7 linked regions of the Canis lupus familiaris genome follow. The protein of the gene in region 1 interacts with the protein of each later gene in a biochemical or structural test. Links are inferred from orthologs where the notes say so. Each region holds a gene or a part of one and is shown in the gene's direction. Other genes may lie near its edges. The genes, in order: ITCH, MLANA, NUMB, JUNB, NDFIP1, UBE2G1 and LRRK1.

Evidence for each region.
Region 2: the proteins of ITCH (region 1) and MLANA form a complex in vitro, tested with the Homo sapiens proteins (2 studies listed by BioGRID and IntAct, with this or other methods). The link is inferred for Canis lupus familiaris from reciprocal best matches to the Homo sapiens genes ITCH and MLANA.
Region 3: the proteins of ITCH (region 1) and NUMB form a complex in vitro, tested with the Homo sapiens proteins (3 studies listed by BioGRID). The link is inferred for Canis lupus familiaris from reciprocal best matches to the Homo sapiens genes ITCH and NUMB.
Region 4: the proteins of ITCH (region 1) and JUNB form a complex in vitro, tested with the Homo sapiens proteins (2 studies listed by BioGRID, with this or other methods). The link is inferred for Canis lupus familiaris from reciprocal best matches to the Homo sapiens genes ITCH and JUNB.
Region 5: the proteins of ITCH (region 1) and NDFIP1 form a complex in vitro, tested with the Homo sapiens proteins (2 studies listed by BioGRID). The link is inferred for Canis lupus familiaris from reciprocal best matches to the Homo sapiens genes ITCH and NDFIP1.
Region 6: the proteins of ITCH (region 1) and UBE2G1 form a complex in vitro, tested with the Homo sapiens proteins (2 studies listed by BioGRID). The link is inferred for Canis lupus familiaris from reciprocal best matches to the Homo sapiens genes ITCH and UBE2G1.
Region 7: the proteins of ITCH (region 1) and LRRK1 form a complex in vitro, tested with the Homo sapiens proteins (2 studies listed by BioGRID and IntAct, with this or other methods). The link is inferred for Canis lupus familiaris from reciprocal best matches to the Homo sapiens genes ITCH and LRRK1.

Annotation. Positions count from the first base shown.
Region 1 is NC_049245.1:23,988,833-23,992,949, forward strand, and holds the start of ITCH (E3 ubiquitin-protein ligase Itchy homolog), read left to right. Parts: upstream 1-1,317; 5' UTR 1,318-1,441; intron 1,442-4,117. UniProt on the Homo sapiens protein: Acts as an Acts as an E3 ubiquitin-protein ligase which accepts ubiquitin from an E2 ubiquitin-conjugating enzyme in the form of a thioester and then directly transfers the ubiquitin to targeted substrates.
Region 2 is NC_049232.1:26,953,216-26,957,453, forward strand, and holds the start of MLANA (melanoma antigen recognized by T-cells 1), read left to right. Parts: upstream 1-1,438; coding exon 1,439-1,515; intron 1,516-4,238. UniProt on the Homo sapiens protein: Involved in melanosome biogenesis by ensuring the stability of GPR143. Plays a vital role in the expression, stability, trafficking, and processing of melanocyte protein PMEL, which is critical to the formation of stage II melanosomes.
Region 3 is NC_049229.1:47,083,581-47,087,650, reverse strand, and holds the start of NUMB (protein numb homolog), read left to right. Parts: upstream 1-1,270; 5' UTR 1,271-1,384; intron 1,385-1,549; exon of another isoform or gene 1,550-1,694; intron 1,695-4,070. UniProt on the Homo sapiens protein: Regulates clathrin-mediated receptor endocytosis. Plays a role in the process of neurogenesis.
Region 4 is NC_049241.1:49,756,909-49,760,614, reverse strand, and holds JUNB (transcription factor jun-B), read left to right. Parts: upstream 1-1,369; 5' UTR 1,370-1,665; coding exon 1,666-2,709; 3' UTR 2,710-3,206; downstream 3,207-3,706. UniProt on the Homo sapiens protein: Transcription factor involved in regulating gene activity following the primary growth factor response. Binds to the DNA sequence 5'-TGA[GC]TCA-3'.
Region 5 is NC_049223.1:36,160,820-36,164,942, forward strand, and holds the start of NDFIP1 (NEDD4 family-interacting protein 1), read left to right. Parts: upstream 1-1,323; 5' UTR 1,324-1,511; coding exon 1,512-1,574; intron 1,575-4,123. UniProt on the Homo sapiens protein: Activates HECT domain-containing E3 ubiquitin-protein ligases, including NEDD4 and ITCH, and consequently modulates the stability of their targets. As a result, controls many cellular processes.
Region 6 is NC_049226.1:30,544,610-30,548,109, reverse strand, and holds part of UBE2G1 (ubiquitin-conjugating enzyme E2 G1), read left to right. Parts: intron 1-1,024; coding exon 1,025-1,203; intron 1,204-3,500. UniProt on the Homo sapiens protein: Accepts ubiquitin from the E1 complex and catalyzes its covalent attachment to other proteins. In vitro catalyzes 'Lys-48'-, as well as 'Lys-63'-linked polyubiquitination. May be involved in degradation of muscle-specific proteins.
Region 7 is NC_049224.1:40,487,969-40,491,952, reverse strand, and holds the start of LRRK1 (leucine-rich repeat serine/threonine-protein kinase 1), read left to right. Parts: upstream 1-1,184; 5' UTR 1,185-1,201; intron 1,202-3,984.

The DNA of each region.
Region 1 (4,117 bases):
ACAGAGAGACAGAGGCAGAGACACAGGCAGAGGGAGAAGCAGGCCTCACGCAGGGAGCCCAACATGGGACTGGATCCCACGTCTCCAGGATCAGGCCCTGGGTTGAAGGCGGCCCTAAACTGCTGAGCTGCTGAGCCACCCAGACTGCCCAGTTTAATGAATCCTTCAGGAGATTTTTTCTCTCTCTTTTTTAAAGATTATATTTATTTATTCATGAGAGACACACAGAGAGATGCAGAGACATAGCAGAGAGACAAACAGGATCCCTGTGGGGAGCCTAATGTGGAATTCCATCCCAAGACCCTGGGATCACAGCCTGAGCGAAAGGTAGATGCGCAACCACTAAGCCACTCAGGTGCTCTTCTTTAGGAGATTCTGATGGGCACTAAAGTTTGAGAACCACTGCCTTGGAGATTCTGAATGGGTTAGGATCCAGAAGTCTGCATCATTAATAAGCTCTCTTAAGTCATATTGCAGGAATGCAATTTGAGAATTGAGAATTGAGATTTGAACATACTTTGAAAAATGCAAGTGACTTTCCAGATGGTAAAATATGTTCATAAGGAGGAAACAGGCTAAACAATAATAGCTAAGGTCATTAATTAGGAAGCCCTTATCTGGGCCTCTGAATTTACTTGCACAGCCTATTAATTCTCACAAACAACCCATAAAGAAGAGGATGGACTCTGAAGTCAAACTGCCTGGGTTCCTATCCAGCTTGTGACTTGGTTTACCCATCTGTAAAGTGAGGATAATGGAGGTAGTTTCCTTATAGATTTGTTGTGAGGATTAAAGAAGCTTATTGATCAGCTCTTCCAATACCTGCCAGATTGGCACCACTTACATGTAGGCTATTCTCATCATCCTTAAGCGTACTTTGTTAAAAGGTGGATTTGAACCCCATCAATTTAACTCCCCAGCGTTACTTTCTTAAGGACTAAACTATAATCCAGTGTTTCTGAAAGTGTGATTCCCCCACCAGAAGCACAGCCGAGTTAGAAATGCAAATTACTAGATCTCATCCCAGATCTGCTGAAACGGAAACTCTGGGGGTGGGGCTCTCCTAAATGTCAACAAGCCCTTCAGGTGTTTCTGATGCACAATAGCTTTTGGGAACCACAGCTACAGTCTTTAGAGGTTCTGGGGAAGTGGGCATACTTTAAAAAAAAAAAAAAAAAAAAAAAAGCCTAGAGTGGCTGCGAGCAATCCCATAGTCCCTCCTACTAAGGGCGAGTAAACTCCGGTGTAGCTGCGCTGCCCAGCTCCGGCCAATTCTCCCGGTCAGCGCGCAAGGCTTTCTGGGGCTTGTAGTCCACATCCCTGCCGAGCAGGAGGCGCCTGCGCGTTGGCCGCCAACTCGCTCTAGTCGCTGTGGTCTGGGCTCGGGACCGGCTGCCATCTTAGTCGAGGGACTGAAGAGTCGCCGCCGCCCCGAGTCCCGGTAAACATTCGCGGGCGGACTGGGGGCGCTTCTGGGTAGGAGGGGGAGCCCGCAAGAGAGTGTCGGAGGAGAACCAGGGGTGAAGGAGTGCGGCGCGCGGGCAGAGGACCCTAGAGCCGCGACTGCTCTCTCCTCTCTCACAGCCGGTGCCCGTGGGGGGCGCGGGGAGCTCGGGCTAGTGGCCGAGGGGTGGGTTGGCCGGAGACGCCGAGGAGCCACTTTTTGACCGAGGCGTGGGGAGCCCCTCGCCTCGCGGGCGCCAAGTTGTGAGAGGGCTGGGCCGCGTTGGGCGCCAGCTGGGGCCGGCCCCGCGCCCCTCAGCCCCGCCCGGGGGCCACTCTCCCGCGGCCCGGCCTACGCGCGGGGCCCGGCGGCAGCGGCCGGAGCGGCCGACGTGGCCCTGTGAGGGGCGGCGGCCGGGCCCACCTGCCACTCGGCTGGCCTTCCCGAGACTTTTTGGAGCCCCCAGTCACGAGGCAGGCCCAGCGTAGCGGCTGCCTTCTCTTTCTTACACTCCCCTCCTCCCTCCATTGTCCCCCATCGTGGTGGTCCCGGCCCAGGCGCCCTTTTCCGCGCCTGCTGCCGCGGCCCCGCGGGCACCTCCCGGCGCCGAGTTTTGCAGACGTGGAGCTGTCACTGCCCTCCCTCTTGAGTGCCCTTTTCTTTGGCAGAGAAAAGAAAAAAAAGTAGTCGTGAACGTATTCTAAGGGTGAGAACGTGATGAGGACACGACTTAGTGGGGGAACTCAAGTTTTCAGACACAGTCTCGGGCCACGGCTTACAGAGAAACACAGGGTCTGTGCGCTCAAGGTGGACGTTGGGCCTAAAGTTAAAGATGTAACAAGGTGAACGTGCAAACTACCCGAAATTCACGATTCCCCAATAACAACTCAGCTTTTCTCGGTTATATGCGCATGTTAGTCTTGTTACATTTTCTGCCATAATTCTACAGCTTCAGTATACTTTTTTGGGAGTGAGGGTTGGGGAAGGAAAAGTGGGATTTTTTTGCCCTTTGGAAATTATTGAGGCACTGGAGCCAGTCACTTATCATTGCACTTAGTTGGGGGGTCTCCCGCATCTTTTCTTAATCGATTTTAGGGAAGTATGTAAAGGCAGCGGATACTAACCCTCAAAATCAGCTAAGGATTTCTCAGCTGAAATAAAGTTCTCATGGCAGCTATGCTGGAAGCCTGCACTATGTATTTATTCATAGATTTACTCGGGGTACAGTTATCAACAGAATGTAAGGTTTTTGGGTGTGAGTCCAGAAGGAATTCCTTCATGGTCAGTATATGAATCAAGTCAAAAAGGACATGAAATAAAAAATGAGTGCAGAATACGTTTTCACAGTATTCCAGAGGGAATCATTTCTGAATTCTAAAACAAAACAAAACAAAAACAAAAAACAAAAAACAAAAAAAACCCATCTGTTCGCCTATTGAAAAAGATAGACAAACCAGTAGTTCCTCAAATTGCACATTAGAATAGTTAGGGGAGCTTTTTAAAAGTAGAAATTCCAGGGTCTCCTTTTCTGACATCAATTTAGTAGGTCTGCTTTTGCCCTGAAGAATTTATTTTTAAAACATGCCTCAGGCAGCTCTCTTGGTTTTGGGAACCACTGAGGCAAACAATACTGTGAATCTACTGAGAAGCTTGAGACAGAATTGGCCAGTTCTGTCTGGGGTTTGGCTGTTGAAGGTGGCAGGACCTGCTCCTGTCCTAAGTTTGGCCTTAGATGATGAGTGGGAATGTGATAAGGATGGGGTAAGGGAAGGACAGTGCTGTATGTAAATGCAGAAGATAGTGGGAGAAAAAGGGTTCAGGGAACAGGGAGTGGGATGGGGAAGGAGAGCATTGTAGGATGTGAGGTCAGAAAGGTAAAAGGAGGTAACTGAAAAGTTATAATGCTAAAAACTGGAGTTTTATGTTAGTAGATTCAGAATTTAGACAGGGAAGTGATATGAGTGACGTGTGTTGTAGAAAAATGGCTCTGGTGATGAGAGTGAAAGGGTGGAAGAGTGGCTATTGCAGAGGTCTAGGTGAGAGGTGAAAGGACTTAATGTTGGAGAGAGGCTGTGGGGATGCTCAAGGGATTAGATTTAGTTCTTTACTAGTGCAATATTGTTGCCATATTTTTGGATGAGACTTTTTGGGGCCAGACTGGGTAAAAAGGCTCTTGTTCTGTAAAAAGAACCCATTAGCAAATCTGAACAATATTACCAGGTTATATATATTAATGGTATCAAAATATATTGTTCATTAGTACTTTTGGAAAATTAGAACTAAATTGGTTGCATTTGGAGGAGAACTTGGAGATTACACTGAAATTTATGACTTTCAACACTACTGATCTAAGCCTGTTGGAAGTGTTTTTCTCTTGTACTCAGGAACTTGGTATTAGAATTTTGGAAGAGATAATCTAGTCCACAGTGGCAAATATATTTTGGTTAATCAATTCTGCTTTGAAGTAGCTGCCAAAAGCACTGTATTGAGAAGGATTTTGGTCATATGTGCTCTCTGGGAAAGTAAGTTATGATTGATAAGTGCCTGATACTTCCTGTGGACACTGTCATCTCCTAGGTGATATATATGCCAGGTATATGCCATAATTAGACTAGTCCAACCTATTAGTTTTCTGTTTGCTTATAAAAAAAAAAATCCTAAGCAGTAAATAAT
Region 2 (4,238 bases), on another chromosome or scaffold:
GATTCTGCTTGTGTATTCACTTGAAAGATTGCTTTTCTTGGTTTGGGATGAGGTACATTTGTTGTCCCTACACTGTTTGCAGAGGTTTACATATATTTACAAAAACAATTTAATGCAGAATTGGGTTTAGTAGCTGTAATTTTGAACATAGGTCTCACCCCTACATCATTCACCTGAGATGATCAGTGAGTTCAACTATAATTTCTTTTTTACAATAAAGAATGAAAATTTACACAGAAAATGCCCCAATAGAAAGGGTTCGTGTGGCAAATGCCCCACTCTGTTCTTCCACTTCTCTCCTATTGTTTTAAACAGGCTCATTAATATAATTCTATTATCAGATCTTTGAAAATCATAAGAATAAGAGAGAAGAAAAATGCACAATGACATTGAGAGAAGAAAAATCGCTGTTGGTTTTCAACCAGTACTCTTTAATCATGACCTCTGCAGTTCATGAGCTTTTTGTCTATTTGTTTGTATTATGGTTTTAAACTTTGTATTATATATATTCCATATTATGTATATTCTGTGTATGATACACATACATACATATTTAAGCCCTATTCATGAGACTTGAATGAAGGAGAAGCAGAAATTTATTTTAGCGGGAGGGAAACAAATAGACAAAGTCAGGTTATGGGAGTCCTTATCTTGGTTTGGGCAGGGTGAACATGGACAAGCCCAGGCATTTCCTTTGTTAGAAGGTGGACTTGGAGGATGCTGTGCTCAGCTACATACTCATATGGGATCATAACCGTCTATTTGACCACAGATTGACATCAAATTAATACGTTTGGAGAGAAATAACTCCTTTTATTAACCAGTCTTCTGCCAGTGAAAGTAAGGAATGAATACAAATGCCTTTTGTGGAGGTGTGTGGATGACTAAGTTGTTAAGCATCTGACTCTTGATTTCAGCTCAGGTCATGATCTCAGGGTGGTGAGATGAAGCCTCACATGCAGCATGGAGCCTGCTTAAAATTCTCGCTCTCCCTCTCCCTCTCTCCTCTCACCTCTCTAAAAAAATAAAAATAATAAAAATAATAAAAATAATAAAATGTCATCTTTAAAGAATGTATTTTGTTTCTCTATAAGCTTATGGTATAGAGTAAATTGATAGGAAATGAAGAGCATTCCTCCCCCCCAAATAATAACTCAATTTCAAAGTTTTTGCTTTTGTTTGTAGTTTCTTCTTTGAACTCAATTTTCAGTTGGTGGAAGCAGTTAGAAACCTGAGCAATTTCCACTGGATATCAATGAAATAAGCAGGTACAAATTCTCTCACAGAGAGAAACCAGAGGGTCCCAGCTATCATTAATGTTAACCTGGAGAGAGTTTTTTGTAGATATTTATGGAATGCTGTGCGAGGATGTTCTGAATGTGTTAAATGATGCCTGTTTGACTTTGCTATTAGGTGTTCTGTGGCCTTATCCCACAAGATGCCAAGAGAAGAGGCTCACTTCATCCTTGGTTATCCCAAGAAGGGGCATAACCACTCCTACATCACAGCTGAAGAGTAAGTTCAAAATTGGATCCAGTGGGGTTTCCAGTTTGCCATTTGCAGACAGCCTGCTGATTTCCACAAGCGTATGTCTGTCAGTAAATCTCTCTAGTGTTCATTTCTCCAGAGATTAAAACCCTGTCAATGAGGTGATGGGACCCCATGTCCTACAAGGGGCTCACTCAAGCTTTTCTGAGGCCATACAGGCTAGGAGATAGGAATGATAAGAAGTTGGATCTTGGCATTTTTGGGGGGTCTGTATTCTTGGTTATTTGGCTTTCACTGTAGGTTCCCAGCTGGAAAACATCTGTCTGGGAGCAAGGTGACTCTTTCCTCAAGCCTTGTTCTGTCTCCTCCACTCGGGCTCCTGGAGGTGGCCTGTGGATAGAACAAAGGTGAGTTGCCAAAGAGCTAGTAAGAATGAAGGGCAGGTATGTGCAACTGCACTCTGACCCTGCTTATTATTTCTGCATCATAGTTTTATTCTAAGGAAAGGTGTTTAAAAGTATGAATTAATTTAAAATAAATATTTATAGGATTCAGCATTTCTAAGTGCTAAGCAATGTATAGTCAGTCTAAGATGCTATACTTATCTGTGAAAAAATTTTACAGTGTAGTGGAGAATTGGGCTCAAGAATAATTTTGGCAAGCGTAAGTGCTGTAGTGGTAGGACAGGCTGCTGGGACACATTCTGCATGTACTAGAGTACACAAGAGTATGGTGCTCTAGATTGGGTTTCACCTTCTGAATGAAGACTCCAACAGGACAAATAAGGTACCGGGTTTTTATTTGGACCATGTCTTAAGTGATCTAGTCAGAAATTCCTGCAAATTTGCTCTCCCTTGGGGAAGGAACTATTGAAAAATCTTTACTAGAGTGAACTAGCAAGGGCAAGTAAGATGTGGAACTCATTAAAGTCACTGAGGAAGAGTTTAGGCTGGGAGCATTTCCTCAGAAGATGCCAGTGGGATTTTCTAACATCCCTGCATGGTCAGTTGGGAATGGGGAGATTTTCTGAAAAAATATCCCAAGAGTAAAAAATGTATTTTTGGGGGTATGTTTAGAGTACACATGATATTAAGTAGGATGTTGTTTCAGTTTCTGTATGATAATTCAACAAGCTGTATCTCTGTAAAACTTTAGTAAGAAGTGAGAGGGCATGCGTCACTCATGGAGGTTTTGTAAAATGCAGTTTCCCAGGTATTTCTGCCAGAGAGGCTGATTTGGTGGGGCTCAGAGTTTGCACTTTAACATCCACCTCAGGTGACTCTGCTACAGGAGGCATTTGGTGACACTCTAGAGAGTCCTGCCCAGCTGCAAACTGCATTATTTTGGTGTGTCTGGCATATCCTGATGTTTTCTAATCTATCAATCACTGAGTGTGTGTGTGTGAATGCAATGTGACTGTGCATAAGGAACTGGAACAGAGCTCTGTCTGTGTTAGGATATCCAAGGGGATAACCACAGCCTTGGTGGGTGAAATTGGAGCACAAGCATGCCAGGAATTGAATCAGCTGCCTTCAGTCACAAGAGCCCACTGAATGCTCCTTGTGACAGCTTCATATCAGGAAAGGGCGATATGGCAGGAAAGGCACTGGTTGGGTATCTTAGGCCAGTCACTGTGAATTCTGGTTCTGCCACTTACCACTTGTGCATCATTGGGCATTTTACCAGTTTAAAATTATGGGGATACCCGCTGTGACATGAACATCGTATCTACCTCACAGGATTATTGTGATGATGAAATAAAAGCCTATATGTGGGGTGCTTGGCACAATGCTTGGCACAAATCAGTGCTCAATGAAGGACAGAGTAGCTGCTAAGGTGGTGGTGATGTTGATGAGTCTCGGTAGGTCTCAGCTTCATGATCCACAAAGTGGGTGGACTGACCTGCATAATTAGGTCAGAGTTTTTATCCAGCACTGTCACCCAACTGGTTTAGAGATGGACAGGATAGACTTGATGCCTCAGCTGCCTTGAGAAGGAGGTGGTCAGGTAGTTGGTACAGGACAAAGATCTCTCCAGGAGAACCCTCAGCTATATTTTGATTCACCCTCAGCTGCTCAATCTCTTATATCACCCAGCTCTGCAGAACCCTTTTTTAGCAAGTCACAGCACTTTCCACTCTGATCATGTGATGTAGAAAATCAGGCAGATGTTAGCTAATTGTTATACAGGGAAAGCACAGCTTTCAGACCTGTTTCCAGGGCCGTTGCAGTAACTAATCTTTCCCAGGGGCCACTGGACACAGGGCTCAAAAGGCTTGTTTAGATGCCCAGATTGCTCCTGCTGCTGAGGAGCAGAACAGTTTCAGTGATGCTACAACTTTGCTGTAGGTTCAGCTCAGACACTTCTCCCCATGATTGAGTCCCAATGCTCTATCTTTTAATAATCCATGCCTGGCTAGTTGGGAGGTGCTTACCTAATATCTGCAATCTCTGACTTCAAATGTCAGCTGGGGTCTCTGACATGGCAGCCAAGCAGGCTGGAGAGATCAGGCCTCTTGTCTCAGCATCCCCAGAGTTCTATCTCTAGCTCCATTCTGAAATGTCTTTTCCAGATCACTTAGGTGATAACAGAGTAAGGAGCAAGGACTGACCCAACTGGTTTGGTCCTTGGTCATCCTGAACTGGATTCCTTGAGCAAGCAGAGGCCAGATAGGAGCTTGCCTAGCTGAATGTAAACATGAGTCAGATGTCCTGGGATACCCTAGCTGGGCTGGGCTCTGGTATCCCCAT
Region 3 (4,070 bases), on another chromosome or scaffold:
CCTGTGTCTCTGCCCCTCTCTCTCTCTCTGAATAAATAAATAATAAAAATAAAAAATAAAAAAATAAAAGCCAAATACAGACACATTAAAAAAAATAAATGTGACTTAGAAATTTAAAGACAAATCAGGCCAGCGTTTTGTTGTTTAAGAACAGGAAAAGTGGGTGGAAATGAAAAAGAAAACCAAAATCTAACGATGGATGTATTTCTAGGAGCGCAAGAGTTTTTATAGCTACACCAGATTTCTCAAAAATGCATACTGTGACTTGTACCCAAATAAATAAAAAATGCAATCATTTATTCTTGTGCATTGTGCCAATGTAAGAAAAGGGCTGCAATTCATTCAATGGTCCTAATTTAGATTGCTAGGAAGAGGAGAGGTTGGGAGAAAAAAAAAAAAAAAAAAGACAAGCTTTTCAAGTATCTGACACACATCTAGTAGGGCTATTTAAGAACTGCTGAACATAAAAATCAAGTTGGGAGAAGGTGGGGGTAACCAAATTCTCATTTCCAGAGCATCACAAGGCTAAATGCGGCTGGTTTAGTTCAAACTTGCTGATGGCTGCTTGGGTCACTTGGCAGGAGCCAGCCAGGGGTGAGTCTGGAAGCTAGAGAACGCTCAACATGCCACTTCAGTTTATTAACGACGTTACAATTGCCACAGAAGTGTCTGATTCCTGCTAAATAAATGTTCGTGCTTTGCCCTTTAGCATGGAGACTTCTGGAAAGAACTTCAAGGAAACTGGGTGCAAATTGGGACTTTGAGAAGAGATTTTTATCTGTACAAGTGCTTTTCTCCAAGGAGTTGGAAAACACTCCTTAAATACAATCTCTGATGCTGGTATTTTCTAAGTACTACCCTATAAACTAGCAGGGATCAATTTCTCCTTACAGGGAGGGAACTGGAGAAAGGGATGGGTACATAGAGTGAACTCTACAACAAAGAGTTAACCCTTCCCGGGTAACCTCGGCCGTGAGCGTCTGCCCCTTCCTTGCTTTCTACTGCGCAACCAAACTGTACCCGAGCTTGAACCAACCAAAGCCATCGCATCCCTTGCCAGTTGACTTAACAGACACTTTTGGCAGCCTATCATGACTTCGAACTGCCCAGCCATCAGCCAATAACAACTAAACCTTGGTACTGGGCGCTCCGGGTCCGGACGGGGGCTAATACCGGGTTCAGGAAAAGGGGCGGTGAGGAAGCTATGACGGACAGCTGGAAAGAGCCAATCAGAGCAGAAAGCCGCCGCCCCGCTATCCAATGGAGAGACAGAAAGTATGAAACGGGGCGGGCCTGTTGTCATGGGGGAGGTGGTGGCGCTTGGTGGCTACTGGCGGCCGAGGTAGAGGCAGTGGCGCTGGAGTTGGTTGGGGGGCAGCGGCAGGTGAGTGCCGGTAACGCGGGCCTGAGGTCTGGGTGGGGGCCGTCTCGGGCCGGAAACTCCAGTTCGGCGCTCCCGAGGCGGAGGCCGAGAGGAAGGGGGCCTGCACTGTGGGCCGGGTCGGGCCGGGGCCAGGGCGGCGGCGGCGAGTTCGCGCTGACTGGGCTGGTGGGAGAATGGCCCGGTTCCCGGCGGCGGAGTTCGCGTTGGCAAGATAGGCTGGGGCCGGACCCAAGCGGTTCTGGCCGGCAGGTCCCTCGGGACGTCCCGCTGCTTGGGTCTGGGGCACTGACCGGCGGCCGCTGTGGGAGCGGTAAGCCCCTTGGGAGACGGGAGCGGACGGGGTCCCGGGGGGGAGGGGCGGGGGGCGACCCGGGGTGACCGGCCACGACCTGGTCCGAAGACCGGGTGAGCCCGGGAATGCACACTCAGGGCAGCTTGGGTGCCAGGGAGCAGAGAAACCCGGGAAACCCAAGAGCGGCCCGAGCGGAGAGAGCTGGGGGGCCGGGAAACTGGGAGTGGCCCGGGTCCGAGGGAGAAGGGAGTCAGACCGAGGGCGGCCGGGGTTCGGGAGGACCCTGAGGGACGAGTGCGAGCGGGGGCGTCGACGAGAGGCGAGAGGCCGGGGGTGGGGGTGGGGGTGGGGCCGGGGACCCTCCTGAGAGAGGCGGCCGTCCGAGGTGGAGGGCTCCGGGTTTCTGGAGGGTGGGACCTGTGGAGACCTTGGACAGCTGGAGTGGAGCGGAGCGCCCTGCCCCCACCGCTGGGCTGGGCTGGGCGACCCGAGACTGGAACCGGGAGCTCCTGGGTCCGAGGACCCGCGCGCCACCGGGGAGCCTCGAGGAGTAGGTCGGATTGGAGACTAGGGTGAGGGGTCTGCCGGGGAGTGGAAGTTGTCTCAGTTGGAGAGGAGTCAAGCAAAATGACACAGGGGTGGGCGGGGAGAAGCAGTTTCCTCGTAGGAAGCGCGTAGTAGATATAGGGCGTAGTAGGAGGGAGTGAGAAAGTTGTTCAGGGTGAGAGTGGTGGTCTCGTGGGGACCGGCCGGAGCAGCGGCTACGAGAAACTAACAGTGTGGCCGTTAGTGTGTTCTCAGGACTGCAGAAATAGAAGGCACCTCGCCTTCATAAAACTAAGATGTGAGAGAAAAAGCTCCCAAAAGTTGGGTTAAGTAACTTCTTGCATTCCAGTGCTTTAGGGAAAATTTTTTTTTTTTTTTTTTTTAGGATGACACCAATGATATTAGAAAATGAGGACATTGACAGGATGGAGAGTTTGAAAGAGAAAGGGGGGATAAGTAGCTCAAACTAAGGGAATAGGCAGGACAGGGGACTTGATCAAAAAGATGGACGTCATGAAAGGATGGACGTACCCTGGCCAAATTAGAAACTTGAATTCTGGTTCCGCCACTTAGCTTGGACAATTTAACCTCTCTGTACAAGTTTCCTCCTCTGTGTAATAGGTATAATAATAGTCCCTATTTCGTAGGGTTGTTTTTTTTCCACGTGTGTTAATATTTGTAGAACTTTTAGGATAGCGATTGGCACAGAGTGAGCACTGTGCTTACTGACTGCATTGTTAAATAGAGAGCATAAAGACCTGGGTTCTTTTATGCCGTGGTTCTCAAACTTCAGCTTGCACCACAATCACCTGGAGGGCTTGGTAAACTACAGACTGCTGGCGGCATCCAGAGTTTCTGATTCAGTAAGTCTGGGGTGGATCCTGAGAATTTGTATTTATCTCAGGTGATGCTTATGTTGGTCAGAGGCTCACACTTTAAAAACCACTTGCTTCAATGAAAACAATAATAACGTAGCAATCTTAAAATATCTGTCTACCCTGCTAGAGACAAGTAGAGGCACATTGCAAAAATGATCCGAATATAAGGGATACCCATACCCACTGTGAAGCCTATGTTTTTCAGATTGTGGATCGTGATTTTTTCGTAATTTATAAAATCAATTTACTGGGTTACTGCCACATTGAAAATAGGATGAAATAGAATGGAATTGCACTTGGTAAGGAAAAGCATTGTTTGGGAAATGTTTCTCATAAGTGTGTGTACTAGATCACTATGTAAAATGTATTTCTTACAGTCAGAAGAATTTGAAAAACTGTTTTAAGCCAGGCAGTGCAACAGAAATAATCCTTCAGTAAGGGTTTCTAGGACTGGCTTTATTATTTATATCTTTATTTTTCTTCTGGTAATTTGGTGGTGATACGTTCTATTAAATTTCTTGAGCTTCTGATTTGGTTTCTCATGTTTGCCTTATCACATATTGTGTTGTGCCTCTTTTTAGATATTGAGAATCTTTGGTATGAGGACTTAAGGAAATCTGAGGCAGAGGGGATGAAATTGAGTGGTGTTTCTCAGATGTGGTACACTTTTGTTTCACTTGTGCCCTCTTGTTTACCCTTTCTGTAAGGCACTGTCTGTAAAAAATACCCCTAAGTATACTAGACATGTTGTCTGTAAACAACTAATGCTGAAATGGACTGGTTTGAGAACAGTTCATGTATAGAAAATAAGCAGAAGCCGAATAAGACACATTTCAAAGGAGAAAAGCAGAGGAGTGTTTTTTTTTTTTTTTTTTTTAAAGAGAGTGAAAGTTATTTAAAGCTTCTCCTGGCCTTACACTAATAGAAAACATATCAAAGCATTTTTAAGGGAATCAGATATACTTGTGTA
Region 4 (3,706 bases), on another chromosome or scaffold:
ACCGCCTGCCTCCGCGGTCGCCTGCGGGTGCTGCGGGCTGAACCATTGCTGGGAGAGGGAGACTAGAGGCCTATGCGGCTGGGCGTGTTCTGCGCACCCTGGCCTCCGCCAGGGTCGCACGTCCACGTTCCTCTTCTGAGGCGCAGAACCCAACCGGACCCAGGGCGGGGCGCACGGTCCCGTAGGATCCGAGTGACGGAGGCAGGGCCGGGCTCCTTCCCCCGGGGCTGTTGCCACACTTCCTGCCGCGGCGCTCTTTCCCCAGCCTGTTTCTAAGGAAGGAGTGGGGTTGGGCGACCGCGCCCGGGCCGTCGGGGTAGGTTCAGCACCCTGAGTCGGCACGGTGTCGGTCAAGCCCCGGGTCACGGGGGGAGGGCTTGGAGATGGGAGCAAAGTATACTGGCGCCTAGAAAGCACCCACAAGAAGGGGTGGCCAGTCATGGAAGATCCAGCAGTCCAAATCCCCAGGATCCTCAAAAACCCCTCCTCTCATGTCTCAGCTGGAGACCCTGTGTCATTATCATCTCGGCTCTGAAAGTGTGTCCGGACTCTTAACTCTCCTTCATCAGGGCTTTGCAGATGACCCCAGTGACTCCCAACCTCTGACAGGGTCCCCCCCCCCATAATTTCCCAGACTCGGTATACCCCGGAGCCCTCACTTTCTACATAACTAGATTCCCCTTATGGAGGCCCTCAGTCTCTCCCATGGACTTCAGGACCCCTACTCATTTTTTGCATAATGGATCCTCCATCCCCTCCTTTTGCCCTTTTGATCCCCCCCTCACTTTTCCTGGGTTCAGTCCCTCTATTAAAATTCAAGTCCTTTAACCCCTCTGTACTCAGGACCCCCACACATTACCTTACCCCTCTCTCATTTACTCTGGTTGATCCTCCTGTCTCACCTTTGTGGGGTCTCCCTGTGTATATAATCAGCCCTTCAACCCCCCTCGAATACTCCGAGTCCCTCAGGCCTTTTGTGTACACCCTGGAGACCACCCCCGCCCTCCGCCCCAACACGCACACGCGCACGCACGCACACACACACACACACACACACACTTGCTTTGTAACAGTTCCTCGCATCCAGGGGAATCAGTGCCTTCCCTGGAGTCCCTCCCCGTGTATCTCGGACCAGCACCCCTTCCTTCGCGCACCCCGGGGTCCCCTGAGCCCCTCCCCCTGCAGCCGCGCCGAGCCACCCAGCCCGTGGCCGCTGTTTACAAGGACACGCGCTTCCTGACAGTGACGCGAGCCGCCTCCTCCCCTTCCCCACGCTGGAGGAGGGGGGCGCGGGGGCCCGGCTCGCGCGACGGCCAATCGGAGCGCACTTCCGTAGCTGACAATAGCCGTATAAAGGCGTGTGGCTCAGCCTGAGCTGCCGGGACCTTGAGCGCGGCCAGGCCAGCACCGGAGTCAGCAGGGAGCGGGGAGCAGGGGGAAGCGACACCAGGAAAGCGAGCGCGCCGGACAGGGGCCGAAGGGCTCGAGAAGCCGCACGGAGCTTCCGCGCACCGCCGCCGGCTGGCCTCTCCCGGCCGGTGCCAGCTCCTGGGAACGCGCGTCCAGATACCCAGTCCAGCCACCGTCGCGGACAGGGCGCCGCTCGCCGCAGCGAGGCCCGGGGCGGCCCCGCAGGGACCCCCCCAGACCGCCTGGGCCGCCCGGATGTGCACTAAAATGGAACAGCCCTTCTACCACGACGACTCATACGCAGCGGCGGGATACGGCCGGGCTCCGGGCGGCCTTTCTCTACACGACTACAAACTCCTGAAACCCAGCCTGGCGCTCAACCTGGCCGACCCCTACCGAAGTCTCAAAGCCCCCGGGGCGCGGGGCCCGGGACCAGAGGGCAGCGGTGGCAGCAGCTACTTTTCCGGCCAGGGTTCGGACACAGGCGCGTCGCTCAAGCTTGCCTCATCGGAGCTGGAGCGCCTGATCGTCCCCAACAGCAACGGAGTGATCACGACGACACCCACGCCCCCGGGACAGTACTTTTACCCCCGCGGGGGAGGCAGCGGCGGAGGTGCGGGGGGCGCCGGGGGCGGTGTCACCGAGGAGCAGGAGGGCTTCGCAGACGGCTTTGTCAAAGCGCTGGACGACCTGCACAAGATGAACCACGTGACGCCCCCCAACGTGTCCCTGGGCGCCAGCTCGGGGCCCCCGGCTGGGCCCGGGGGCGTCTACGCCGGCCCGGAGCCACCTCCAGTCTACACCAACCTCAACAGCTATTCCCCAGCCTCTGCGCCCTCTGGAGGCGCCGGGGCCGCCGTCGGGACTGGGAGCTCGTACCCGACGGCCACCATCAGCTACCTCCCACACGCGCCACCCTTCGCTGGCGGCCACCCGGCGCAACTGGGCCTGGGCCGAGGAGCCTCCACCTTCAAGGAGGAACCGCAGACCGTGCCTGAGGCGCGCAGCCGCGACGCCACGCCACCGGTGTCCCCCATCAATATGGAAGACCAGGAGCGCATCAAAGTGGAGCGCAAGAGGCTGCGGAACCGGCTGGCGGCCACCAAGTGCCGGAAGCGGAAGCTGGAGCGCATCGCGCGCCTGGAGGACAAGGTGAAGACACTCAAGGCCGAGAACGCGGGGCTGTCGAGCACTGCTGGGCTCCTCCGGGAGCAGGTGGCCCAGCTCAAACAGAAGGTCATGACCCACGTCAGCAACGGCTGCCAGCTGCTGCTCGGGGTCAAGGGACACGCCTTCTGAACGCCCCCCCATACGGACATTCCCCCAGTCTGGACGACTGGGCGCACGCCTCCCAAGGGGCGAGGGGGCAGGCGGTGGGCACCGGCCCCCGGGGCACCGCAAACCACACTGGACTCCTGCCCGCCCGCTCTGCGTCCAGTCCTTCCACTTCGACGTTTACAAGCCCCCCTTTCGCGTTTTTTTGTATGTTTTTTTTTTTTCTGCTGGAAACAGACTCGATTCATATTGAATATAATATATTTGTGTATTTAACAGGGAGGGGAGGAGGGGGCGATCGCGGCGGAGCTGGCCCCGCCGCCCGGTACTCAAGCCCGCGGGGACACTGGGGAAGGGACCCCCGCCCCCTGCCCTCCCCCCTCTGCATCGTACTGTGGATAAGAAACACGCACTCGGTCCCTAAAGAGTTTATTTTAAGATGTGTTTGTGTGTGTGTGTGTTTGTTGTTCCGACTTTTTATTGAATCTATTTAAGTAAAAAAAAAAATGGTTCTTTATTAATTTGTTGTCTTTTTTTCCAAGCCGGGCGGGAGGAGGGAGGAGAATAGTGGGCTGCCCCCACCCCACTCCTGCTTGTGACTCGCGCCAGTGTCCGTGTCCTCCTCGCCAGCTCTACCTAAGCATCTTGCAGCCCTAGTGCGGGCGGCGGACCCTTCTCTGGCCCCCTCCTCCCCGGGGTTGGAAGGGCCAGGGCGGGTACGCGGTCCAGCCGCCCATCACCAGGGGGCAGGAGGCCTGGGGCGAGACGCGCAGTGCGCGGGCGCAGCCCCGCCCAGCTGCGCGCGCTGGGGCTTTCCCCGCTGACGCAGCGGAAGCGCTGCCCCTACATGGGCCGATTCTGTCCAGTGACGCGCCGGCGGTCTCCGGGCAGATTCCGGGAATCCCCTCCCCCGCTCTGCCGGGCAGGGCTGCGGCGCCGGGAAGGGGGCCGGGATTTTCCCAGGCAGGCGGCTGCCGGGGCCCGGAAAGCCCCAGGCCTGGGTCCAGAGCGTCCGCGGTGG
Region 5 (4,123 bases), on another chromosome or scaffold:
AAGGCAATCAAGAAGAAAGAGGAATTGCAACAAGCTTCAAAAACTCAGGTTTTTCTGGGTTGGACATGTGGGTAGAAGCAATTCCAGGTGGCTGGGTATGACAGAAGGAAACAGCAGACCTCACATGCCTGCTGTATAGCCATGCTGCGCTGGATGCTGCGGGATATATAAAAATATTTAAGAGAGACATACTTTCCTCCTCACAGAGTTTATAATTGAGTTGCACGATAATAGTTAACAATGCTGGTTTCATTGGTTTACATTCCAGGTTTCCCCTCCCTAGCTCTGTGTTCTTGGGCAAGATATTTAATTTCTTCAAGCTTAATTTCCTCTTTTGGGAAACATTGGTTATTGTATCTCCCCTAGGGCAGTCCTGCCTGCCTCTTCCAGTCCTTCCGCAAAGCAACCTGTGGCTCCCTCACAGCCTTTGCACGTGTTCTCAGCTCTCAGCAGGGCTGAATCTTTGGAGTCTGGCCTTCCATGTCACCTCCTCAGAGAGCTTTTGGTTCAGAAAAGTATCATGTCCTGGCTCCTCGGTGGCTCGGTGGGTTAAGAGCCCAACTCCTGATTTCAGCTGCGATCTTGATCTCAGGGTTGTGAGTTCAAGCCGAGTTGGGCTCCAGGCCGGGTGGATTTATTTACATGCATGCATACATGGAAATAACATGTCTTATCCACAGATGAGGCTGTTAGAATACTAAAGGGCTGCACAAAAAGGAGAATGCTGTTATCATCATCCATCCTAAGTAGTGCTTGTTTGAGATCTTTACTAAAGGAGTTCTGGAGGGTGTAGTGTCAGGAAACTCTTCTGTAATGGGTCAGAGAGTAAGTATTTTAGGGATTGCTGGCCGTACCCAACATGGGAACGAACGGCTGTGCTCCGGTAAGACTTCATTTATGCACAATGAAACATGAATTTCTTCTGCTTTCCACCGCCACCGGACCGGTTGGCAGTCCCTGATCTAGGACGATGGCAGACAAGCCGGGGCTTGGACGAGAACCGAGCGGGTGCAGCGGTCCCAGGGAGCCCCGGTCGCGGCCGTGCCGGGGTGTCAGCCTCCCCGGGCGCCGACGGCCTCCTCCGCCGGGCCGCGGCCCCACGTCGCGGTGTGGGGAGGGCTAGAGGAGAGCGCTCGGGGAAGGCGCGGGGCTCGCTCGGGCCGCAGCTCGGCGCGCGGGACGCCGGCCGGACCCCACCCCGGGCGGCGGCTCGGCGGGGCGAGGCCGAGGCCGGGCCCGGGCGCGCGGCGGGGGCGGGGCGGGGCGGGGCGGGGCGGCGGCGCAGCGTCGTCGGCGGCGTCCCCGCCTCCTCCCCAGGGGCCGCGTCGGAGCCTCGGCGGCGGCGGCGCTCACAACCCGAGGAGGGCGGCTTGCCTGGAAGCGGCGGCGGCCACCGAGACCCACGCGAGGCGCGTCCCCTCGGCCTCCCCGCGCTCCCAGGCCGCAGCGCCCGCGCCCCTAGAGCTCGCTCGCCCGCTCGCCCGCCTTCCTCCTCTGCGGCCGGCTGCGCCATGGCGTTGGCGTTGGCGGCGCTGGCGGCGGTGGAGCCGGCCTGCGGCAGCCGGTACCAGCAGGTGAGCAGCGCCGAGTCCGGCCCGGCCCCCGGCCCCCGGCCCCCCGGCCCCCGCCGCCCCCGGCCCGCCCCCCTGCCCGCCGGCCACTTCTGGCGTCTCCGGCCCGGCCTGTGGCCGACGCGACGCCGCGGCTTGGCGGGCCTGGGCGGGCCGCGGGCTCGGAGTCGAGGCCGCCGCGGGCCCGGCCCGGCCCGGCCCGGCCCGGCCCTCCGCGACCCGGGGCGGCACCCGGGCGGCGGAAAACCTCCGGCCCGCGGCGTCGCCCCGCACTTCTCGCGGCGGGCGGGCCGCCGAGTCGGAGCCCGCGACCCTCGGGGCGGCGCCCACGCGGGGGCATGCAGTTTCCCTTTCTGCACCTCTGGTTTGATGTCATGGGGAAGAAGAGAAAGAAGGCGATGAAGCGTGAGATGGAAAAGGAAACTGGGTGGAGAGAAAAGATTAAAATCGCTGCCACTGCGGCCGACAGCTCCCCGTGACGAGATGCGATTGCTCGGGGGGTTTCAGAGCCTAGTCTGTTTGTCGAAACCCATCCCCCTCCTCCCCTCCCCCGCGCCTCTGTTTTAAGACAAAAGTCAAAAATGAGACGAGAGGCAAGTCTGCAGTTTGCAGTAGGTCTGGGAAAGGCGCTGTTTAGCTGGGGCAGTGCCCCGGAACGTCGTGAGCTCGCTGAAGGCTGCAGGGCGTGTGCCTGGGTGTGTGTTTTAAAAGCTTGGAAATGACGTTTAAGGAGATTTAATAGCATGGCTGGGGAGGAAATGTATAGGGATTGATTGGAGTATTATCCCGGTTATAATTTATAAATTGAGGCCCTAGGGAAAAGAGCTGCTTGTTCTACTAGCTGGGCTCCCCTCGGAAATTCAGAGACCATCTGCAGGATTTTTAGTGCTGTTTAACCTAACACATCTTAATTGTGGGAATTAAGCCAGGTAGGAACTGGTGTTGATTGGAACCGCTGATAACTGTTTGCGTTTTGTCCTATCAGATGTTTCTTGGTATAATTTGCATACAAATATCAGTCGTGCTTTTATGAAATTAGATGCCCTATCATTGATGATCTACAGCTTTGTATTTCAGAAATAACGAAAACCAGTCTGATTAAAACATCTAGATTAACTCAGTGCAGCCAGTTACCAGTTTGTTTTGCTGTCATCAGCCCTGTGTAGTAATTTCCTCCCTCCTCCAGCCGGACTTCTGAAATGACTGGTTAAGAATTTAGCTTCTTGGTTTCATAAACATGCCCAGACCGTGGCAATGCAGTTTAGTCCTCAGATCTCTCACAGCCTGTGGTCTGGCACATGCTTTTTTTTTTTTTTTTTTTGTATGACCTTGGGTGAGGGTTTCTCCCTGCTTTAATAAAATACAAATGACAGATGTCACTTAACTGTCACCAGAGTGTTCAAAAATCACTTGTACCCCACACTGTGATCTAATTCATTCTTTTCATCCTGTTTTGTAAAAGGCAAACAAGGAAAAAGCTGTGGCTTTTCTTTGTACTGCCATCTTCTTGAGCTATTAGGTAATGCTGACATATTGCTGGAATACAAAAAATTTGGTGGAGTATCAAAACTATGTATTCCTTGGTGTAATATTTATATTTAACAGCTTTAAATATGCAGAATTGAGGTGTGTCAGGGACAGGTCATCTTTATTTTATTTTTGAAAATCATTATGTTGAAGAAATAACCTCCAAAAAACAGCATGAAAAAAATAATCTTCCTAGAAAAATTGCAAAATATGAAAGCTACCCCCCCTAAAAAAAAAACCCACAGTAAAAATTTATCACCCATAGGTAACCAAAATTAGTATTTTGATGTGTATCTTTGTGGACTTATAGGTATGTAAATATACATAAATATAAATCAGTATACATGTGTACAGATAAGGAAAGCTAATATTGACTGAGCATTTACTATGTGCCAATCACGGTACTGAGGACTTTACATCCATTATTTCCCTAATCCTCATGGAACTCCCATGAGGCAAGGTTTGGTATTATTGTATAGATGACAAAGTCAAGACTCCAAGAGGCTCATTAACTTGCTCAAGGTCACAGCCTCTAAGTAGTGATTACAAGGATAAATACACACTCACCTACTTAAAACACAGGCTCATGTTCCAAATATAGGCATGTGCATTAGCATATATATATGTGCATATATATTTTCTCATGTATCCATGGATATATATACAGGCACATCTTTGTACACATGTACCATTCCACGAGCCCCCTGGTTTTACTTGTACACATTTTGTGCATATGTGCACATGTATACATTTATACATCCACTGTGCCCATATGTGTCATGTTCTCAGACACATGTGCATTCACAAGTTTGCATGTACATGTATTTGTTCACATGTATGTACAGAGGCATATAGATGTATAAAATAGGGTAGTATTTTCATGTCTGCATTGCATGTAACTGGTTGTACATAGTTCAAGTCAGTTGCCTATTGTTGGCCACTAAGTGTGTTCATAATTTTTTTATTCACTGAAGTTTCTTTTGTGTACATCTATATCTCTTTTCCTGAGTATAAATTTTTATTTA
Region 6 (3,500 bases), on another chromosome or scaffold:
GGGGAAGCATTTGTTGGGGCACAAGCGGTATGAACAGACTCGGGCTCAGCTTCCCCCAAGTTTCTACCAATAAGGCAGGGGCCCAAGTCAGGACATGGAATGTAACTGTTAGGGTGGTACCTGTCACAAGTCTGTTAGACCTCAGGTGCAAAAACAGGGATGAATTAGACATATTGCCACTGATTATTTATGGGATTTGGACATTTGATTGAAAAGCTTCTTACACCAAAAATTCTTAAACTTTCCTGTCTTTTCTAACATTTTCCAAATGAGTATACTTTATTTTCGTCTTCTTCTTTTTTATTTTGCAGTGGAGAAAACTTCACCATAAAAGATTAGTCATGAATTTTTGGTATATTTGTGTGATATAAATGAGCTGGTGGGTTCGAAGTTCACCTTTGTTGTGATCAACAATTAGTTTGTGACTTGGATTTTAAATCCTAGTTTTACAGAAAAGATGCTTCGTGAATGTCATTCACGTTGATGAATTTTCATCGGCAATGTGACATGTTCCTTTTCTGAATTTGAGTATGCTCCTGTCCCTGAAAATGTGATTTTGCCTTTATGTGATTTAAAAACTACATGATGAGGTTACTTCTCATATTTTCTTTAGGGAAGTCTCTGGATGGTTGACTGTCACCACTTTAGATCAGTAAGTTGGTGGGGAATCTGGGAAATCCTCACATAGAGACTCAGCTCTGGCATTTGGATCTGTACTTGATACGAAGAGCAGAGTCATTTTGTATTTCCTGTGTGTAAATCCATGCATGTATAGGCACCTTGGGGCTCTGCACACGGAAGAGATTGCTTGTGTGTGTGTTGGCTCTGACAAGTGGGGCCTGCTGGGTACAATCTGTGGTCTTCCTAAAGGTGAACAGGTTCCATCTTGGAAATCATCTTCTGTATATATTGAATGTTTTGTACAGACCTGTGGGAGCCAGGGCCCTGTCTAAAATAGCTGCTTCTATGTTTAACCACGGTATTGTAAATACTTTAAACAGACTCTCACACTTTAATTTTGCAGTTGATAAAAATGGTGATGTATGCATTTCCATTCTTCATGAGCCTGGGGAAGACAAATATGGTTATGAAAAGCCAGAGGAACGCTGGCTCCCAATTCACACTGTGGAAACCATCATGATTAGTGTCATTTCGATGCTGGCAGACCCTAACGGAGACTCACCTGCTAATGTTGATGCTGCGGTAAGCTGGTCATGCACAATGTTCCCTTCCCTTTAACCACCCTCAATGAGGGCTGCAGTATCTGTGTGAGTGTGTGTGTGTGTGTGTGTGCGCGCGCGCGCGCGCGCATGCGCGCAGATCTATTCACACACATGTATGTCTCTCTGGAATCTGTACAAAAATAGGTTATAGACGTTAAGTAAGCTTTACCCCTAAATACTTGAACCTGCATCTTTTAAGAATAAGGGCACTATCTTTCATAGCTGTAAACACTCTTCACCTAGATTCACCAATTGTGGAGATTTTACATTTTTTTTCCCTAAAGTGTTTGAGAAGTCTTTACAGATGTCGTGACTCTCCACTGGTAACACATCACCAGCCTCTCCTGAGAACAGAGGCAACCTCCTCGTTCCCACAGCACAGGTCTGTCAGCGTACAGTCCTGCTCACGCACACATGGTCCATAGTCACACTTCTCCAATGTTGTTCTTCATACCTGCCTTTTTTAAATCCAGAACCTGGGAATCTACATTTTCTTTGTGTTCATGTTTTATTAGTCTCTTGTGCTCTGGGATAGTCTCTTTCCTCAGCCTTCTGTTCTCCTTTGAAAAGCCTTTCATTCTAATTCTTATTCTTAGGACTTTTATGAGCATCTGTCAAAGCCAGGAGGTTAAATTCGCCTTTCTTCTTGGGTTACTTCAAACTGATAGAATAACCTGGGTGAGATCGCCTGTATTATATGTAGAAGAACTACATCGATGAACCCTTTTCAAATTATGCCTTTGAATTTTTGAACTTAGTGAACAAATTGAAATGAAAACTGGCAGAAAAGCCTCCTAGCTTTTTACTTAGCTGAGCGCCAGTCCGAGCACTGGAAGCAGTGGGAAGGGAGAAGAAATCCTGTGGAGTCATTTTGAGAGAGAACTAATTCTTGTTTACTTTGATGCATGCTTGGTTTTCTGTAATCAGATCAGAACTGACAAGCTGTATCTTAATCTTCATAAAGGTTAAAATTAAGGATAAAATAAGAGCAAATACCTGAAAGTATGAAAATGGAAAAGTTAGAAACTCCCCAGGAGAGCAGAGTCTGGAACCATGGGGCCTCCTGAGAAGGGGCTATCCTTGCCTGATGATGGACGTTTCCATGAAGATGGGAGTAGCTTTGTGCAAAGCTGAACTATTGCAGATGAGACTCTGATCTGTGCACCACAGGCTGTGCGACATCTGTCCTGCTTCTTCTGACTTCATCAGTTAGTTGCCTCCTGTACAGATGGTCCTGGCTTGCACATGGTTTCGTTTACCTCTTATGTTGGCTTTTCCCTCTTGGTTGGACACCTCATCGTGTGTTCCTGTGGTTCTATTGTTTGCTCTTCTGACTTCCTGGTCAGTGGTGCCTGTTCCGGGAAACCCGCATCCTCTCTGGAGACCCTCTCCTGGCCCCTCCACCCTTGGGCTCTGACAGGGCGTGGCTGCCGTCCTGGGACTTCTGCTACCTGCTCTGCTGTTTCCTGGGTCCGGCTTGTCCTCCTTGGTGGCCGTCGTCCTGTTGCCCCACACATTTCAGAAAGGCTCTGTGGGAACTAAGACCTGGGTCCTTACTTGTCTGGACAGGTTTTTTTTTTTTTTTTTTTTTTAATTTTTTATTTATGATAGTCACAGAGAGAGAGAGAGAGGCAGAGACATAGGCAGAGGGAGAAGCAGGCTCCATGCACCAGGAGCCTGATGTGGGATTCGATCCCAGGTCTCCAGGATCGCGCCCTGGGCCAAAGGCAGGCGCCAAACCACTGCGCCACCCAGGGATCCCTGGACAGGTTTTTATCCTGCGTTGTATTTAAGGGAGCGTTTGTAGAATTCTGGGGAGGGGTGCAGTGCAGCTTTATACAGATTTGGACTTTTCGTGTTATTGCTGCTGCTGAGGAAGCTGATGCATGGCTGACTTTCTTGCTTTTGTGGGTGACCTTTTCTTTCTTTTTCTGTTTTCCCTGTTCCCTTCAGGTTCTTGACCTTCAGAATTTCATGTTGTGTGGCATTTACGATTTTTCATTTCTGTGCGGTAGTCCCTCTTCTTGGTGACGAGGATGTTCTGAGACCCCCGCCCCCCAGGAGATGCCTGAAATCGGGGATCAGTACCCAGCCTATGTACATTTGATGTTTTTTTGTTGTTGAAGGTCTCATTTATTATTTATTTGACAGAGTGAGTGAGAGAGCACACAAGCAGGGGGAGGGGCAGCGGGAGAGGGAGCCTAATGCCCAACTGGTTCCCAGGACCCTGGGAAGGCAGACCACCTAACCAGCCAAGCCACTCAGGCACCACCCCAC
Region 7 (3,984 bases), on another chromosome or scaffold:
TCGGTAGCAATCACATTGCTGCTTTTTGAATACTGGAATTAGGACCAAAATATTGAGGACAGGATTGCAAAACCGCACCCACCCTTTTGCAAAGGGCGTTCCGTGGCCGGCGAGCTAAAGGCGCAGCCTCTTGGGAGCAAAGCGAAGCTGCCCCGTGGTGCCCTTGCCAAGGGGCCACTGCTCAGAGTGTCCTTGAGGTCGTGCGGGGGCCCTGCGTCTGCCTGGCGTTTGTGAAATGGCAGTGAGGGTGGTGGCGAGTCTCTGACTTGCGCTAAAGTCCCAGGAGCCTTCCAGTCGCAGCGCAGGAGAGGTCTAGCCTAGGCTGCGGGTCCTGCCGGGCTGTGGAACCATCTGCTTCTTACTGGGCCGGCTTGTCTTCCTGTGGTTGGCACGCGGAGCCAGGTCTGATGCCTGCTGCACGTCCCTGCGTCTCTGTGATGCCGTCGGATAATGGTCTCCGTCGGGTGATGAACATACATATCGGGTCGAGACATAATAAATGGCCAACATTCCAGCATGTTTTATCTACTCCCCGCAGAATTTAAAATGATTCACCCAACAGTGACATCTTTCTATATTCAGCCCCAATTAAATTCTTGTGACGGAAGGGGCACCGTTTGCCAAACTCTAAAGCTAGAAAATACCTATTTCTATCCTGCCCTGCACAGAGGTGTAGGTCAGAGTACAGTCACTGCGAGGCCCTGCCTAACCCATACAAGTCCGAGGTTAGCCCTTGGGTTTTGCTCCGGAGCCCGGGGACGGTGGACGACGCTGCGTTGAGCAGAGAACCGACCAATCTTGCGGCTGCGCCCGCCCCGACAGGAGAAGGCAGGGCCCCCAGACCCGGCGGGGTCCGCGCGCTGCGAGGGCTCACGGGCCTCCGGGGCGCGGCGTCGGGGCACCTCCGCGTTCCGGCTGGGGAAACTGAGGCGCCCGCGTGCAGCTCGCCGGCAGCGCCGCGCCAGCCCCCCCTCGCCCGCGCTCGCTCCCCGCCAGCCCGCGGGCCGCAGGATTGAGGAAGTGCGTCTGGGCCCGGCCCGGCCCCCGCGCGCGCGGCCGGAGGCGCAGGGGGCGGAGGGCAGGGGACGGCCAGGCCTCGGTCCGCGCGCCCAGCCCCGCGTCCCCGGCGCCCCGGCCCCGGCCCCGGCCCCGGCCCACGCCCCGCCGCCCCGGCCCGCCCCCGCCGCCGCCGCCGCCGCAGGTAAGCGCCCGTCCGCCCGCGCCGCGCCGCGCCCCGCCCCGCCCGGGACCCCCGCAGCCCCCTCGGCGCCCGGACGGCCGCGTGCTCCGCCCAGGTGGCCCGGGGAGGGGGGCACCGAGGGCGCGGGGGACCCCAGGCCCCGGCCCCGGCCCCGGCCCCGGCCCCGCGGAGTGGGGGAGGCGGCGGGCCCCGGAGGGCCACCCCGAAACCCCGCGCGGGCCGCGGCCGGGAGAAGGCGCGAGAAGCACCAGTGAGGCCGAGCCGCGGCCGGGCGACCACGGTCTCCTCCGCCCCTGGAGAAGGCTCCTTGCTTCGGGCCGGCGCGGGCCGGGTGTGAGCCGGGTGTGAGCCGGGTGTGAGCGCGAGCGCGCAGCGTGCGGGCGAGTGTGCGTGCGTGTGTGCCGGGGAGCAGCGCCCGCACCTCCCGCCGGGCTGGGGCTGGGGCTGGGGCTGGGGCTGGGGCTGGGGCTGGGGCTGGCCGGGCTCCTGCGCTCCCGCCGCTGCGGGGGAATCCGCCGTCTCCGCCACCCTCCTCCGCAGACACGCGACAGGTCCGCGAAGGGGCCAAGAGGGGAGCCCGGTTAGGTGGGGGGCCGGGGGAGGTGGCGAGGGAGAGCGTGGGGACCTCTGGCCCGCTCAACCTGCCCCTGCCCGTTTGGAGGCCTGGAAGCTTTCTCCCGGAACACATCAGCAGGGGTCGGAGAGGCAGAGAAAACAGCAGCCTGTGGCGAAGGCTTCAGCAAGGCTCTCAGTGAATACACTCTTTCTAGAGGGTGCCGGCCCCTCAACTTGGTAACAAAGTACCCAGACATTAAAGGGACAACTAGAAGAGGTGCCATTTGGGACGACATTAACATGAAATGCTTTTTGTGATTTGACTCTAATTATCTTTGCTTCCGTCCCTGAAGAATTAAAAAAAAAAAATTAAAAACAAAAATCTCACATCTGATTTGTCCCTAAAGGAGGTTTTGGGGTCAGGGAATGAGCCCATAGTCAGCTCACTTGTTCGCCTTTCCTCTATCCCATACCCTCATCCCTTGAATTCTGTGAACCATCAGCAAGTTCTGTTGGGCTTACCTATGTGTCTGGCTGAGTCCAACCTTTCTTTCTCATTGTCTCCACCTTAGTCCAAGGTACCAGCATTTGTTTCCTGCGTGATTACAATCCTCCCCTCTCCAATTCTTTATGTGACAGCCAGAGAGTCTGTGCGTGTGTTTTTTTTTAATAGGTAAATCAGAATGTGTCAATCCTCTGCTTAGAACCCTGCCATAATTTCTCCTTGTGATTGGCATGAAACCCAGGACACCTCCTTCCCCTCAGTTGATATGGAGTCTGGCATCATCAACCACCTGGCCATTGCTCATGCCACCCTCTACCCCACCCCACCCCACCAGCCACCATGGTCCAGCTGGCTCTTCAGCATATGGCCTCTACATGCTGACCCCTGACTCCTCATACTGCCAGCCACCCCCTGTAAGCCCAGCCTCTTTCTCACATCCGCCCCCCCCCCACCCTTGCTGTCTTTTGCAGTCTCCACTGGTATTATGGTCCCTCTTCATCTATTTGCTCTCTTCTTTAATTGCCTGGCACTCTCCTGGAGCTCCAGGGGTCAGAGACCATTCCTAGGCACCAGCATGGCTCACTGCTGCGTCTTCACGCCCAGAACTGTCTGAGAGGTGCCCAGTACACCCTGGCATACAGATTGAATGGCGAATGGACAGTCTTAACTTGTTTGTGGTTTCAGACTCATGAAGGGCTTCTGTTCCCAGACCTTTGGGTGTTCATCTAGGACTGAGATCTACACATTTCTCTGGTCCGCAGCCCCTTGATATTTTGAAGTCCATGAATCCATTACACACATTCTGTAGGCAAGCCGGTATGTGGTCAGAGGAGGCTAGTAGTGCCAAAGGATTGTCAAGGACTATGGGCCAACCATCTCTACCATGCTTTCACTAAAAAGAATTACTGGATTATCTGAGCTGACGTGCTCATTTGCAAGTGTCTTCTAGCTCTTTGGTACTGACAATCCTTTCCAAGCCTCCTGAAAAGACAAGTAAGCAGGTCCAGGGTCTCCTCTATTTCTCCTCAGTCAGAAATTTTGTGGCAAGCACTTACTTAACTGTGCCTTCCCACCAGCTTTAAGTTTCATGAACACATGGAGTTCACTCCTCATAGAAAGGGCCCAATAAAAACATTTGCGGGATGAATGTCAGCTTCCCCTTTTCTCTTTTTGATTAAGCATTCAGTTTTATTCATTACTGCACGTATAAGGAGCAATGAAAAATTGGTGAGGTTTTAAAAAGTATTAAAATTATTACAGAAAACCTCTTGAAGTCCTCTTAAGGCTGTATGCACCACAATGAAAGGAAGACATGTAACTTACAACCATGATTTGTTGCATTGGTCTGAGCCCAAAAGAAGCAGGAAGAAGCAAAGATCCGTTTGAGGGCAAAGATTGAGCAAAAGTTGAGTTACCTCATTTTAAACCTTCTACCTTAGAGTCTAAGCCAACATACAAATTACAGTTGAAAAACTGTGCCAGTGGTAAAATCCTCCATCGGTAAAGAGATTTTCAAAAGGAAACTGAAAATGAAAAGGGGAACAAAATGTGCTGGCCGAGGGTTGGCCTAAAATATTTTAAAGATTTAAAAAAAAAAAAAAAACTTAAAAGCACTCTATGGTAAGACACTTCTGTTTTCAGAAGGCAAGTCTACTAGCATTTGGATTTTTTGAGGTGGTACTGGGTAGATGTGGTAGCTGATTTTAAGACGTTTGAAAGCAGA